Linked DNA regions of Pelodiscus sinensis. The protein of the gene in region 1 interacts with the protein of each later gene in a pairwise test. Links are inferred from orthologs where the notes say so. Each region holds a gene or a part of one and is shown on either strand. Other genes may lie near its edges.

The links. The genes of interacting proteins can lie anywhere in the genome.
Region 2: the proteins of DMRTB1 (region 1) and EXOSC1 interact in a two-hybrid assay, tested with the Homo sapiens proteins (2 studies listed by BioGRID). The link is inferred for Pelodiscus sinensis from reciprocal best matches to the Homo sapiens genes DMRTB1 and EXOSC1.

What each region holds. Positions count from the first base shown.
Region 1 is NC_134719.1:10,762,359-10,769,781, reverse strand, and holds the start of DMRTB1 (doublesex- and mab-3-related transcription factor B1), read right to left. Parts: upstream 3,018-7,423; 5' UTR 2,521-3,017; coding exon 2,097-2,520; intron 1-2,096.
Region 2 is NW_027465990.1:88,437-95,551, reverse strand, and holds the start of EXOSC1 (exosome complex component CSL4), read right to left. Parts: upstream 3,004-7,115; 5' UTR 2,939-3,003; coding exon 2,869-2,938; intron 2,654-2,868; coding exon 2,538-2,653; intron 1,337-2,537; coding exon 1,262-1,336; intron 626-1,261; coding exon 537-625; intron 239-536; coding exon 205-238; intron 1-204. UniProt on the Homo sapiens protein: Non-catalytic component of the RNA exosome complex which has 3'->5' exoribonuclease activity and participates in a multitude of cellular RNA processing and degradation events.

The DNA of each region.
Region 1 (7,423 bases):
TGAAGGTTAATAGAAAGAGTCATGGTTCCATATTCTGTCCTCAGTTGTGTAAATTAAGGCAGAATCTGGCCCTTTGGGTTTATATTCAGTTCTTATTCAATTATTTTTTAATTGAAACATTAGGATTGAGGAGGAAAGGAGGGTGCTGTAAAGATGGGTTAATACAATTTTGGGAGAGCAAATATGATTCAAATTTATGCTGACAACTTGGTTCAGGATGCACAAAAAACTTCTGATTGCAGGATCTTTAATGCTTCTGTTGCAATCAAAAGTATGACAAACGGCTTGATTTCTAGTTTCCTGTGGTAGCAGCTTGACTTACAGATGAAGTGAAATTTAATACTGAAATCACTGAGAGGACATAAAAAGCTCTGTACCCTGTGACAGCTGGCATTTCTAGAGTTGTTTGCAGTATTTTTGTTGTGTTGGTCCCAAAATAAGAGAGACAAGGCAGGTGAGGAAGTATCTTTTATTGAACAACTTCTGTTGGTAGAAGGGACAAGTTTTGAGCTTCACAGAGTTCTTCCTCCGGTCACCTGTAGAGCTGTGATACACAAAGCTCCATCAACAGAAGTTAGTCCAATAAAAGATATTGACCTCAACCACCTGGTCTCTCTCATTTTTACAGTTCATTTTCAAAGAACCACTGTATTTTGCTATTAAAAAAGAATCGTGTTCACAAAGTGATCTTCCAAAGTAGTGTAGTTCCCACCATGTATGACTAGACTATATCTGTATCAAGGTCTCATCCATTCAAATCACTCCTAAAAACACTTCCGCTGTCAGGCCCATAAGCATAAAAATTAAATAACTGTTGGTAGACGAGGCTGTGCTGGAGCTATCTAAAGTGACTCCTTCCTCTCCATCTCTCAGATCATCTGGCCTGTATGTTCTAGAGCAGTGTTTCTCAAACTTTTTTTTTATAAAGTACCCCCTTTAAAAAAAAAATTATAAGTACCCCCAGTACCTACTGTTTTCAGACACACACATTTTTTTTTCTACCATTGCAACACATTTGTTTAAACAACTTAATCGTAGTCGGGCGGGTGATGAAATTTTTGGGTGTAAAAAGTACAAAAATAATAAAGTGCTGTAAAACTTAAAACAAGAATTTTCTCCAAATTTCAGTTGTGTTGACGAACCCCCAGACTTCTCTCGAGTATCCGTAAGGGTACTTATACCACTGGTTGAGAAACACTGAGCTAGAGTGCTGGTTCTCCTGAGGCCAAATATAATGGCTACTGTGGTCAGTGGGAGTCTATAAATAATAAAAATGGATTAGACAAGGCACACCCAAGACTCTACGGTAGAGAACACTATCAGAAGTAATGGCCTAAATAACCATATGCATTTTCCATTTCTACATTCTATTTTCCATTCTTAAATACACAAAATTTTACACCAACTGGTTCTCGACAAATCTAGTCTGTGAAACATCAAATTCCAATCCAGGAGGTGTCCTCTTTTTTTATGTTGCCACTATAAAATGCCTTCTCTAGACGACTCCAGCAGAAATCCCCCTATTAATCTGCATTTTCTGTTGTTCTGTGGGGTTTTTTCCTTTGTTTTTGCATGAGGGCATGTCTGTAAATTTAAAAATAATAGCACAGCTCAGAAGAAAGAGCTCAAGGTATTGTATTGAAATATCAAGATTCTATTCCTGTCACTGATTCATTTCCCTGTTAAACAAGGACTAGTTGCATGAATCCATCTTTGCAACAAGGAAACAAGCTGAGAAGGTGCTGAGGGCAGTTCCTGTAGCTACAAAGTCCATAGGCACAACTTGGAAACTTTGCAAAACCAAAAATAAATGCAGCATTGCATTCCACACACACCCACCTGGAAACAGGATGGGAAAGTGGAGTGAGAGCAACTCCAGCAATTCTGGGAAACAGTTTACCTGGGACCTAGCAGTTTCTGAGGCACTAGATCGGCCTGGAAGATGAATGAACAAACACCAACCAAACAATACCCACTAATAGATGGACAGACACTGAATGATGAACACAGATGGACAGAGAGACACAGAGATAGAAGTTAATCATCTTGAGTGAAGGCCTATAGGCCAGGCACCCCAATGCTGAGCTGGTCCCTACCAAAGTCCCCAAAGGGTGGGGAGCTGGAAGCGGGTACTGGCCTGCGGGTCCTGGCTCTGCTGCTGCTGCTGGCTGCCGGGGTGGTTTTGGCTCCTTCACACCTGCCCCCGGGGCTGCTGTGGTCCGAGGCGCTGGGGCCAGCTGCAGGAACCTTCCGACCTTTACCATGAACCGGGGTGCAGGGCACAGGTGGTGACTTCTCCCTGGGTGAGGCATCTGGGTCCTGCCCCTGCATTGCCTTCTGAGCTGCCATGATCTTCTGGCGCTCTGTAATGAGTGCACACTTGTCGCAGGGGCAGAGCTTCCAGCGGCAGTGGCCTGTGTGGCCCTTCACCGGCACCACAAAGCCATGGTTCCGGCAGCGGGAGCACTTGGGGGTGCGCAGAGTAGTCTTCTCAGCCATCCCTGCTGCCTCCGCTTCCATGGCACTCCCAGCCAGGCACACACGTAAAGCACCCTGTGTACCCAGAATTTGAAGAAGCTCAGCTTAGAAGCAGGGCGGGGCAAAGCCGGGGTGTGCCCACCACCACTGGCGACAATGTAGCAACTAAGCCTGCTCAGCCTTTTGCAAGAGGAGAGGATGAGCTATGCTCCCTGGCACACTGCAGCAAAGTAGCTTTGTAAAGAAGACATAGAGGGCCAAGTTTGCAAAAACATGCCCTCTGATTCTGCACAAGCAACCATTTGTGGGCACATCCCTGGGGCTTTCATGTGTAAGTTACAGAGTAACACACCTGATTTACATAGGCAAAGGCAGTGATTGCAAAAGGATATTTTACGCCCTCTAGAAGCGGAATCTGCTTGGGACCCTTTTAGGGTTGTCAGTTTTGGTAGGACATATTCCTGGACATGACATCACATGACACAGTCTTTAATTAAAAATCAGTCTTTGTTCTGGAGTGCTCACGAATTAATGCTGGAGGCTGGGCAACCTGGCTCCTTTCTGCCTTTCATTAAAATCTTCCCTTTTTGGTACCACAGTTACCATCATATCTTGCATGCATCTTATACTGGAATTATTTCCGTTTCATTTTTTTTTTCAAACTAACATGTATTTTTCTTGAACACGTGGGGAGAGCCTCACTCCTTCAGTAGAAAAACTTCTGATCACCATTCTGGTTTTTTACAATGTTCATCTCATCCAGTGTACCACGAGGGCAAAAAGCACACTGAGGGTATGTCTGCACTACCACCCTAGTTCGAACTAGGGTGGTTAATGTAGTCAATCAAAGTTGCAAATGAAGCCCGGGATTTAAATATCCCGGGCTTCATTTGCATCTTGCTGGGCGCCGCCATTTTTAAATCCCTGGTAGTTCGGACTCTGTGCCCGCGGCTACACGCGGCATGGAGTAGGTAGTTTGAATTAGGCTTTCTAATTCGAACTACCATTACACCTCGTTCGAAAGCCTAATTCGAACTACCTACTCCGTGCCGTGTGTAGCCGCGGGCACGGAGTCCGAACTACTGGGGATTTAAAAATGGCGGCACCTGGCAAGATGCAAATGAAGCCCGGGATATTTAAATCCCGGGCTTCATTTGCAACTTCGATTGACTACATTAACCACCCCAGTTCGAACTAGGGTGGTAGTGTAGACATACCCTGAGTTCCTCCAATCATATATCTCCCTTTGCCACATCTTTACTAACTGTAAACATACATGCAGGGCCGGCCCACAACATTTTGGCACCTGAGGCGGGGAGCTCAAATGACACCCCCATGTCTCCTCGCTTTGGCCAAAACTTTGAAAGGTCTCAATTCTGCCTTGTTCCTCTTCTACTCCTCTCATGGTACTGCAGATGGAATACATATGCACCAGCAGCAGACACAATTTTCTACACTCTGTGTCCTAGTGGAGCCCCCCGCCCCCCACAATCTGGCACCTGAAGCGGCCACCTCAGTTTGCCTCATGGTAAGGCCAGTCCTGCATACATGGGTTTAAAATTAAAAATGTAATAATGCTCCTGTTTCATTATTGCTTGTAAAACTACCTGTGTTTTTATTCCACTAGGCTAGTACTTACAAAACTATAACTCTTATACAATAGCCCCTTTTCAGGGCAAACCTGAACAGTGGAAGGAAGCATACAGCAGGTCTTTCTCACATGAAAGGAGTTAAGTTTGTGACCGTGTGATCAATCAGGGTGTGTCCAGACTACAGAGTTTTTTTCAGAAAAAATGGCCTTTTTTTGAAAAAAACGTACCCTGAGTCTAGACTGCTGCCATGTTCTTGCGAAAGTAAATTGAAAGAATGCAGCAGTTTTTTAGATCACGGAAAACCTTGTTTCACGAGGCATAATGCCTTTTTTTTTAAAGTGCTCCTTTGAAAAAAAGATGCTATGTAATGCAAACTGTGCTTTTTTGAAAGAGAGCATCCAGACTGCATGGGTGCTCTCTTTTGAAAAAGCTTGCTTTTTCAAAAGTACTGGGTGTAGTCTAGCCACTCTTTTTTGAAAGAGGCTTTTTCAAAAGTATCTTTTGAAAAAGGCTTGCAGTCTAGATGTAGCCTCTGTGGCCTCAGTCCTTCATTTACTCATCAGCTTCAGGAGGAATTCGCAGGATGAAGGAGGTATTACTGCTGCTTTCTGACAGTTGCAACAGAATATGTTTCACAGTGCAGTTCAAGGTTACATAGATCCTTCCTTGCAGCACTGCCTTGCACCTTCCACCTCCTATGGGTGGAAATTGTAACAAAAACTGTTGACTTTTAAACTAGTCTCCTGCCAGATACTGAGGATGGCATGTTCAAAAGCTCCTAAGTGATTTTCAAGTGTGAGCCCTGTTGAGCCCGAGTGGGGCTTCTGACTTAGCATAGGGAAAATTTTCAAGAGTGCTCAAGTCCTCTTGACATTTATGCAAGTTTGGTGTCTAACTTGCTTAGGGTCTAGTGGGATTTTCCAAAGTGCTGATCTGAACCAATAGATGCCCATCTAGCTTTGAAAATCTGTCCTCAAAGAGTATGCCTACACTGCAATCAAACAGAGGGTTGCCGGGGTGTCCGGTTTTTGATTGGAACACCAGCTTGAAAAGGGACCCTCGTGGCACCGCTGACCAGGCCATTTAAAGTATGGTTGGCCACCTGCAGCAAGGCAGGTAGCATGCCTGCCCAACTCCTCATAGCTCCTGAGAAGTGCCGGCATCTCCCTCTGGCTCCTAGGCAGAGGGAAGACATAGGGGGCTCCCTCCATCCCGTGCATCAGCTCTGTAGCTCCCACTGGTTGGGAACCATGGCCAATAGAAGCTGAGACGGCAGCACCTGCAGGCAGAGGCAGTGTATGAGCCACCTGGCCACACTTCCTCCTAGGAGCCTGAGAGAGATGACACCAATTCCAGGAGCCACCTGAGATGAACACCGACCTGAGCCTTCTCTCTGAACCCTCTCCCATGTCCCAGACTCCTGTCCCAGCCCTGAACCCCCTCACGCACCCAAACTCCCTACCAGAGCCTGCGGCCCCTCCTGCACGGAGCACGCTCCCACACTCTGAACCTCTCAGCACCACACTGCAGTCCAGCTCAAAATCTTCATTTCTTGCCTCACCCCAGAGCATGCACACGCCCTTTTTGCACCCCAACCTCCTGTCCTGTCCTGGTGAAAGTGAGTGAGGGTGGGAGAGAGGGAGGGAGAGTAGACGGGAGTGAGCAGGGGGCAGAGCCTCAGAGAAGGGGAAGGCAGGGCCAGGTCCTCAGACAAGGAGTGAGGCAAAGCTGTTTGGTACTCTGCAAATAAAACACCCACATCTTGCCCACATCAGTTGACTGTGGCTCATCAGCTTTTGGAGTTATGAAAGTAGACTGCAGAGTAGATATTCGGGCTTGGGCTGGAGCTTAGGGTCTGGGACCGCACGAGATGAAAGGGGCTCAGAGCCAGGCTCCTACCAGAGATCAGATGTCTACATTGCAAGGCTGTGTCTACACTGGCCCCTTCTTCGGAAGAGGCATGCTAATTTCTAACTTTGGAATAGGGAAATCCGTGGGGGATTTAAATATCCCCCGCGGGATTTAAATAAACATGTCCACCGCTTTTTTTCCGGCTTGGGGAAAAGCCGGAAAAGAGCGTCCAGACTGGTGCGATCCTCCGGAATAAAGCCCTTTTCCGGAGGATCTCTTATTCCTACTTTCAAGTAGGCTTTATACTTTCAAGTAGGAATAAGAGATCCTCCGGCAAAGGGCTTTATTCCGGAGGATTGCGCCAGTCTGGACGCTCTTTTCCAGCTTTTCCCCAAGCCGGAAAAAAAGCAGCGGACATGTTTATTTAAATCCCGCGGGGGATATTTAAATCCCCCGCGGATTTCCCTATTCCAAAGTTAGAAATTAGCATGCCTCTTCCGGAGAAGGGGCCAGTGTAGACGTAGCCCAACTGTATAGCCCTGAAACCCAAACCCCACAAATGGATGTCAGCTGATACAGACCTCAGGTGTCCTACTGCAGTACAGGAATATCCAGAGTCACTGAGGGTACATCTACATTGCAGCAATAAGCCCTAGGTTAATAGAACTTGAGTTAGCAGACCCTGGATTTGTTAAACAAGGGCTTGAGTGTCTACATTCATTTGTAACCCCAAGTTAGGGATTCCTGAGCCCTCGGATCCAACCTGGGGCTGCAGCACCTACACTGATTATGAGGGCCCAAGTCCAACTATCCGTATGCCGTACTTCCTAGCACCTCTCCAAATTGTGACCACTCTAGCCCTTTGTTCATGGTCTATGAGGGGAAATGTGATAGTCCAAAGCATAAAGAAAGTTGGCGTGTAGGTCTGTTGGTGGACTCCAAGGCTTTGCCTACACTGCAGGGTTCTGCGCAAGAAGCCTTTTGTGGAAGAGAGCTTCCGCAAAACCTTCTTGCGCAAAAGCGTGTCCAGATCTCAAAGCGCATTGCAAAAGCGATGTGCGTTTGTGTAGGAGTGTCTACACTGCATGGTCACAGAATGGCCATCAGAGCACTTGTGCTTTTGCCAATAGGAGTTTCTTGTGCAAAAACCCCTCTGAAGTGTCCACACCTGCCTTTTTGCGCAAGAGCTGTAGCGCAAAAAGGAGTTATTTCTCGTGGGGAGAGGAATAATTCTACCAGCAAAAGCCCTCTGTTCTGCTGATTTACTTGTGTAAAAATACACTTGAGGTGTGGATGCTCCACCGGTTTTTGCGCCAAAACCAGCTCTTTTGCGCAAAAACCTTTCAGTGTAGACATAGCCCAAAAGCACAAATTCAGATAATTGTGCAGATAATTATTTTCAGGATAGATTGAAAGCAACATCAATATTGCAAAGCAATAGGGCTTGAACTAGCTTGACTCAGGCTTAGACCCTCCACACCTGAGAGGTCCTGTGACCCTGA
Region 2 (7,115 bases), on another chromosome or scaffold:
CCAGCTCAGCCTGTCCCAGTGAGGGGAGTGGGGTGCCCTCTGAGATGAGGGGTCAGCAAGCTCCCCTCCCAGAGGGAGCCACCTCAGGAGCTGGGGCTGAATGGGGTGAGCCATGCCTGGGGGTTTGGCCTGGGCCGCATGTGCAGGGAAGAGGGTGGCAGCCAAGCGCTGGGCAGAAACAGAAGCAGGCAGCAGCCGACTGACCTTGTCTTTCTCTGTGGCTCGAATGTCTTCTCTCCTGTAAGAAGAGACAGCGAGATCTCAGCCCGCGCCTGCTGGGCCCAGGGCCACGCTCGCCTCTCTGGAGACGCAGCCCTGGCTGCCCCATCAGGGCTTATGCAGCCGTTCCCCAGGACGCGGCCCGGCACTGGGCAGAAGGCATTAGCTTGCAGGAGCCAGTCTTAGGACAAGGGGTGAGCTGCAGGGCAGCAGAGCTGGCTCTGTTCCCCAGGCAGGGCTGGGCATACATTGGTAAAGTACAGGGGGAACCACCCTCCCCCAGACCCTGGGGATGGGCCCGTGAGGTCAGGCCTTACCGTATGGTACCTCGGAAGGTGGATTTCAGCGGCGTGGAGCCGATGTAGAGGATGCGCACCTTGGCAAAGCGGGAGTTAATGCTGCACACCTGTGGGGAGAATCTGGCATGACCCCCCAGCTAAGCATAGCTCCCCCAGGCACCCAAGTACTGGGCAGCAAGACCAGCAGGGACTGGCCCCGCCCCTGCTCCACTGTAGGGGAACTAACCTAACCACCCACCCACAGCCAGTCAGAGCCCCCCGTTCCCCTGCCCGGTGATCGACTCACTGCCACACTCCGCTCCGGGGAGAGCTTGCAACTCCCAGCCACACCCACCTGCTTCTCCCAACCAGCAGCCTATTCCCCTCCAGGCTGCCCCCGGAAGCCCCTTGGTGGAAAGCAGGAATTCGGCCTCCATGGCCTCTAGGCTGAGGGTGCCAATGCCAGCGATGGAGGGGGCACCGCGCCCCGACACTTGGTTCCCAGAGCAGAGTGGGCTGGCTGGAACTGGTGCCAGGGAGCCAAGAGGCTCCCTGCCTCTCACAGAGCCACCCCGGAGCCCGCCAGCCCCTTGCGGAGAAGCCTGGCATGAGGCAGAGAGGGGATCAGCCAGAGGTTGAGCAGCAGAGGAGGTTTGTAACCCTTTCCGGTCCTTGCACAGGCATCCGGCCTGCCCTCCCCCCACCGAACGCGGCGCTCCTGCAGCAAGAGACCCAGCAGCGGAGCCGGCCAGGCAGGCGTTTACCTTGCACGTCACAATGGCCCCCACGTCGGGCAGGAGCTGGGACTCGACGTCTCTCACCACAGACACCACCGGCAGCTGCACAGGCGTAGAGAGGAGCCCTTGGTTAGCCCTGTGCCTGGCACGGCCACCTCCCACCCCCACAGAGCCAGTGTCGGCATACCACGTCCACCAGGCCCGGCCCAGCCCGGCCAAGCACTCGTCCCTGCATGCTTCAGTTACGTGTTTAGTCATCCTCCGTCATGTGACCTACTCCCCGCTTTTCACAGGACTCAAATCTTGAATTTCAGATCAATGAGCTCTCCTGGGTGGTCTCTGGCCAGACTGCCTGTCTCTCCTGTGCCCGAAAGTGTCACCCAGAAAAACTACCAACTCTCTAGAGCTACTTTCCCCCTAGACTCGCTTCCATGGGCTCTAGCCTACCAACTCCCCGAGTTACTCAAGTCTGCCTTCTTGAATCCCACTGTCGCTCTTGGGCTGGCCTTTCCCACCATTCCTTACCTCGCCACTTCCTGTTCGCTTTCACCCAGGCTGCCTTCCACTCTCAAATTCTCAACCAGCTCCTCCCTAGTTGTCAAAATCAAACCTAGAGCAGCCTCCCACAGATGCTTTCTGCAATACACTCCAGACTCCTCTTGGATGCCCTGTGCCCTGCTGCCTTCTTTTCCCAGCCGGGGACGTAACAGTGCAACCGCTTAACCCATAAGCCTCAACCCCGCCGCTCACAAGCCTCAGCTGATCAGTTTCCGTTTCGGTTACTCGCTGGCTCCCTGGGAGGCTCCACTGTGGGTTTTCCGTATAAGTGTTATACCGCACAGCCAGCAGCACGTGACCCTGGGATCTGGAGCGGTCACATTGTTAGGTGGCTTTTGAGCTCCCTATTCCCAAGAGATGTCCTGGCCGCTGAAGTCCCCCATCACTAGGGCCCTGCAAGCCCATGGGTAGTCTCAGGCATCCACACCTGCGGATGTCAAGGCGGCTCACTTCACATCCACAGGGTGGGTCAAAACCCCTCAGCCCCTTTCTGTCCTGGCTAGGAGGCCTGCAGCAGACACCTCCCATGACATCGCCCTTCGCCTGCCCCAGAGACAGCCAGTCTGCCCGCGTCCATGGCCTCAGGCCGAGCACCCCCCCCGGCAAGCTGCACCCCCCGTGCCCAGACGCCCCCCCCCGGCAAGCTGCACCCCCCGTGCCCAGACTCCAGCGGGTCCTCCGGGGGCGGGGCACTCAGGTGGGGGCGGGGCTTGCAGGGGGCCAGCAGCAGGACGCCCCCCCTCACCTCTCCGTCCCGGCGCGTGGTGAGCAGGCCGCCGGCCAGCGCGGCGCACACGGAGCCCAGCCGGGTGTAGGTGCCGCTGCCCGGCGCCGCCTCCTGCAGCCCGCAGAGCCGCTCGCCTGGGGACAGCAAGCGTCAGCCCGGCGGGGGGGCACGAGCCGGGGGGGGGCGGTGAGGGGGGGAGGGGCGGTAAGGGGAAGGGGGCGCGAGCCGGCGGGGGGGGCAGTGAGGGGGAGGGGGGCGCGAGGGTTAAGGGGGGGTAAGGGGAGGAGGGGGCGCGAGCCGGCCGGGACGGTTAAGGGGGGGGCGGGGAGGGGGAGGGGGAGGGGCTCACCGGGCACGCAGCACCGCGCCGGCCGGGCCATGCTGCCGCTCCGCAGCTCCCCGGGAAGGAAGTTTCCCATTGGCCGGTGCTCCCACGTGACCGCTACCGCCTGCGGGGAGGGGACGCCGGCCAGCGCGGGGCGCTTCGGGAGTTGCAGTCTGGAGCGGAGAGACTACAGCTCCCGGCATGCTCCGCGGGGCGCGCCGCGCAGGCGCAGTGAGCCTCAGGTACCGGGGTGATGCCCGGCCGGCGGTGAGGGCTGGGGCCGGGGCAGATGGAGGCGGGGTGCGGGCCGGCAGGTAAGGGGGGCGGGGCGGGTATCTCGCGGAGGGGGCGGGGGTTCCGAGGGGGCGGGGCGGAGGGTTCCAGGGGGAGGGGGTGTCTCGGAGGGGGGCGGGGGATTCCAAGGGGGCGGGGCGGAGGGTTCCAAGGGGGCGGGGCGGGGGGTTCAGGGGGGAGGGGGTATCTCGCGGAGGGGGTGTCTCGGAGGGGGGCGGGGGGTTCCAGGGGGAGGGGGTATCTCGCGGAGGGGGTGTCTCGGAGGGGGGCGGGGGGGTTCCAGGGGGAGGGGGTATCTCGCGGAGGGGGTGTCTCTCGGAGGGGGGGCGGGGGGTTCCAGGGGGAGGGGGGTATCTCGCGGAGGGGGGTGTCTCGGAGGGGGACGGGGGGTTCCAGGGGGAGGGGGTATCTCGCGGAGGGGGTGTCTCGGAGGGGGACGGGGGGTTCCCAGGGGGAGGGGGTATCTCGCGGAGGGGGTGTCCTCGGAGGGGGGGCGGGGGGGGCGGGGGCTGTCTCCCTCTGTGGCCCCCAGGCAGTGACGCCCCCCTGTCCGTGCCCTCGCGGGAGGCTCTTGCTGCAGGGGGCTCTGCAGACCCCCATGTCTGTGGCCCGGCCGGGGGTTTGGGCACCTGGCTCGGCTCACGCCCCCCAGGACCAGCGGTGGGTGGGTACCTCCCCCATCCGCGGCGGAGAGGCCCCGAGCACACACTGGTCGTCCTGCAATGGACACGCTGGGGTGCAGCGCCCTCCGAGCTGCCTGCCAGGCGGGAGACACAGAGGCCTGGTTCCAGGGTGATGGGTGCATCAGAACAGCCTCGGGTAGACGAGATCCTCTGCCTGTGGGATTCCCACCCGCTGCACAGCACCACCCTTAGCCCGCACCCTGGCCTGGAGACGCCAGCCCAGCAGAGATCGGGTGCACCTGCTTTAATTCACCGCAGTATTTTCTGAAATCGGATGCCTCCCTTTTCGGTGGGGCACGTTCAAAAGACAGTGAGAACCCCCCCGCCGGCTGTGCGTGATACCCCTCCCCCCGTCAGCCTTCCCAAGTAAAACATTCGCTGAACATCCCGGCCAGAGAAAACAGAGGGAGAGCTGCCCCAGCCCCACATGCCGGGGCTGGAGGAGCCGGCCTGGGAGGGAGTATTATAGGGCCGCAGTGGGGAGAAGGGCCTAGTCTGGGGCAAGGCTGAGCGCTGCAGGAGACAGGCCTCTGAGAGGCAGGGCAGAGGCTTTGTTCGGCCAGTCCTCCCCAGAGACAGGTGCTAGTTAGGCCGAGAAGCCGGCTCCAGGGCCCCTGCTTGGGCTGCCTACTCGACACGCTGTGCTCAGCTCTGTGCCTGAGCCCTGCTGGGGGCAGCCTCTCCTCGTTGATGCTGGGTGTGCCTCAGGGAGGTGGCTCCATGCCCGGGCAGGCTCAGGTTCCTCCTCACTCCAGCTGACTGCAGGCCAGTGCGCACAGCTCAGCAGGCAGGTGAGCAGCCTGGTAGGGCCCCATGCCCACTGCCCCCTTTGGCCAGCTCATCCTGCTTCCGCCCAGGGGCTGTGCCTTGGCTTCCAGGGCCGCCCTGCACTGAATTGGACTCGGGGGTGGACAGAGATCACACCCCTGGCTGGGGCTGTGCGCAAGCAGCTCCCAGGGCCGGGTTCAGGAGGGAGGTGGGAGATGGGGTGGTGGGCTTTTAATGCCGCCTGTCCCCCCCTGCGGGCTCCCTGGCTCTGAGCGCCAGGGTCTCTGGCGACGCTGGCAGCCTGTGAGTGCCCTGAGCTCCGTCTCTGGTTTCTTCTGCGTCTGGGCCAGTGAACACCTGAGCCGGGATGGGGGCAGGGAGCAGAAGGCTCTGCGCTCCTGTGCCCCAGGAGCCGGGCTCATTCCCCTTGCTGGGCCCACCAAGGTCTCCGGCACCCCCGTCCCGACCCAGAGGGGTGGCTTGTGCCTGCCAGGGGGCACTGCCAGCAGGGCAGAGGCAGAAACCCTGCCAGAGCAGGGAGCTGAAGGCGGCCCAGCGCCACGCACGGCCGGGGAGTGAGCCTGTGAGTCTCTTCCCGCTGCTGAGCACTGGCCCAGTCCGGGGGACGCTGCCCCGGTGCGGAGGGCAGGTCCGGGTGGCGCTGAGCCGGGCTCTCTCCGCAGACGGTGCGCGGTGGGGATGAGGAGCCGCCAGCGGGCGTTCTCCGCGGTGATGCGCCTCTTTCTGAAGTGCCTGCGCGTGGGCCGGCGACGCAGGCTGAGGCTGGTGTGGCGGGTGCAGCAGCTGTGGCGCTACGGGCGCCTTTGCCTCCACTCCCTGCTCTACAACTCCTTCACCAACAGCGACGTGCTGCTCGACTCCCTCTTCGAGCCCATCTACTGGCTGGTAGACCATGTCACCCGCTGGTTTGGGGTGGTAAGTGCCTGGCGGGGGGACAGCCCTGGGCTGGCGGTGGGGGGCCTGGCGGGGGGACAGCCCTGGGCTGGCGGTGGGGGGCCTGGCGGGGGTGACAGCCCTGGGCTGGCGGTGGGGGGCCTGGCGGGGTGAGAGCCCTGGGCTGGCGGTGGGGGGCCTGGCGGGGTGAGAGCCCTGGGCTGGCGGTGGGGGTGCCTGGCGGGGTGAGAGCCCTGGGCTGGCAGTGGGGGTGCCTGGCGGGGGGACAGCCCTGGGCTGGCGGTGGGGGGCCTGGCGGGGTGACAGCCCTGGGCTGGCGGTGGGGGGCCTGGCGGGGGGACAGCCCTGGGCTGGCGGTGGGGGTGCCTGGCGGGGGGACAGCCCTGGGCTGGCGGTGGGGGGCGTGGTGGGGGGACAGCCCTGGGCTGGCGGTGGGGGGCCTGGCGGGGTGACAGCCCTGGGCTGGTGGTGGGGGGCGTGGTGGGGGGACAGCCCTGGGCTGGTGGTGGGGGTGCCTGGTGGGGGGACAGCCCTGGGCTGGCGGTGGGGGTGCCTGGTGGGGGGACAGCCCTGGGCTGGCGGTGGGGGTGCCTGGTGGGGGGACAGCCCTGGGCTGGCGGTGGGGGTGCCTGGCGGGGGGACAGGCCTGGGCTGGCGGTGGGGGGGGCCTGGCGGGGGGACAGCCCTGGGCTGGCGGTGGGGGGTGCCTGGCGGGAAGACAGCCCTGGGCTGGCGGTGGGGGGACAGCCCTGGGCTGGCGGTGGGGGGCCTGGCGGGGTGAGAGCCCTGGGCTGGCGGTGGGGGTGCCTGGCGGGGGGTGACAGCCCTGGGCTGGCGGTGGGGGTGCCTGGCAGGGGGACAGCCCTGGGCTGGCGGTGGGGGGCCTGGCGGGGGGACAGCCCTGGGCTGGCGGTGGGGGGCCTGGCGGGGGGACAGCCCTGGGCTGGCGGTGGGGGGGCCTGGCGGGGGGGACAGCCCTGGGCTGGCGGTGGGGGGCGTGGTGGGGGGACAGCCCTGGGCTGGTGGTGGGGGTGCCTGGCGGGGGGACAGCCCTGGGCTGGTGGTGGGGGTGCCTGGCGGGGGGACAGCCCTGGGCTGGTGGTGGGGGGTGCCTGGCGGGGTGACAGGCCTGGGCTGGCGGTGGGGAGCGTGGGGGGGGACAGCCCTGGGCTGGCGGTGGGGGGCCTGGCGGGGGGACAGCCCTGGGCTGGCGGTGGGGGGTGCCTGGCGGGGGTGACAGGCCTGGGCTGGCGGTGGGGAGCGTGGGGGGGGGACAGCCCTGGGCTGGCGGTGGGGGGCCTGGCGGGGGGACAGCCCTGGGCTGGTGGTGGGGGTGCCTGGCGGGGTGACAGGCCTGGGCTGGCGGTGGGGAGCGTGGGGGGGGGACAGCCCTGGGCTGGTGGTGGGGTGCCTGGCGGGGGGACAGCCCTGGGCTGGCGGTGGGGGGGGCCTGGCGGGGTGACAGGCCTGGGCTGGCGGTGGGGGGGCCTGGCGGGGGTGACAGCCCTGGGCTGGCGGTGGGGGGGCCTGGCGGGGGGACAGCCCTGGGCTGGCGGTGGGGGGCCTGGCGGGAGGAGGCCTGGCGGGAGGACAGCCCTGGGCTGGCGGTGG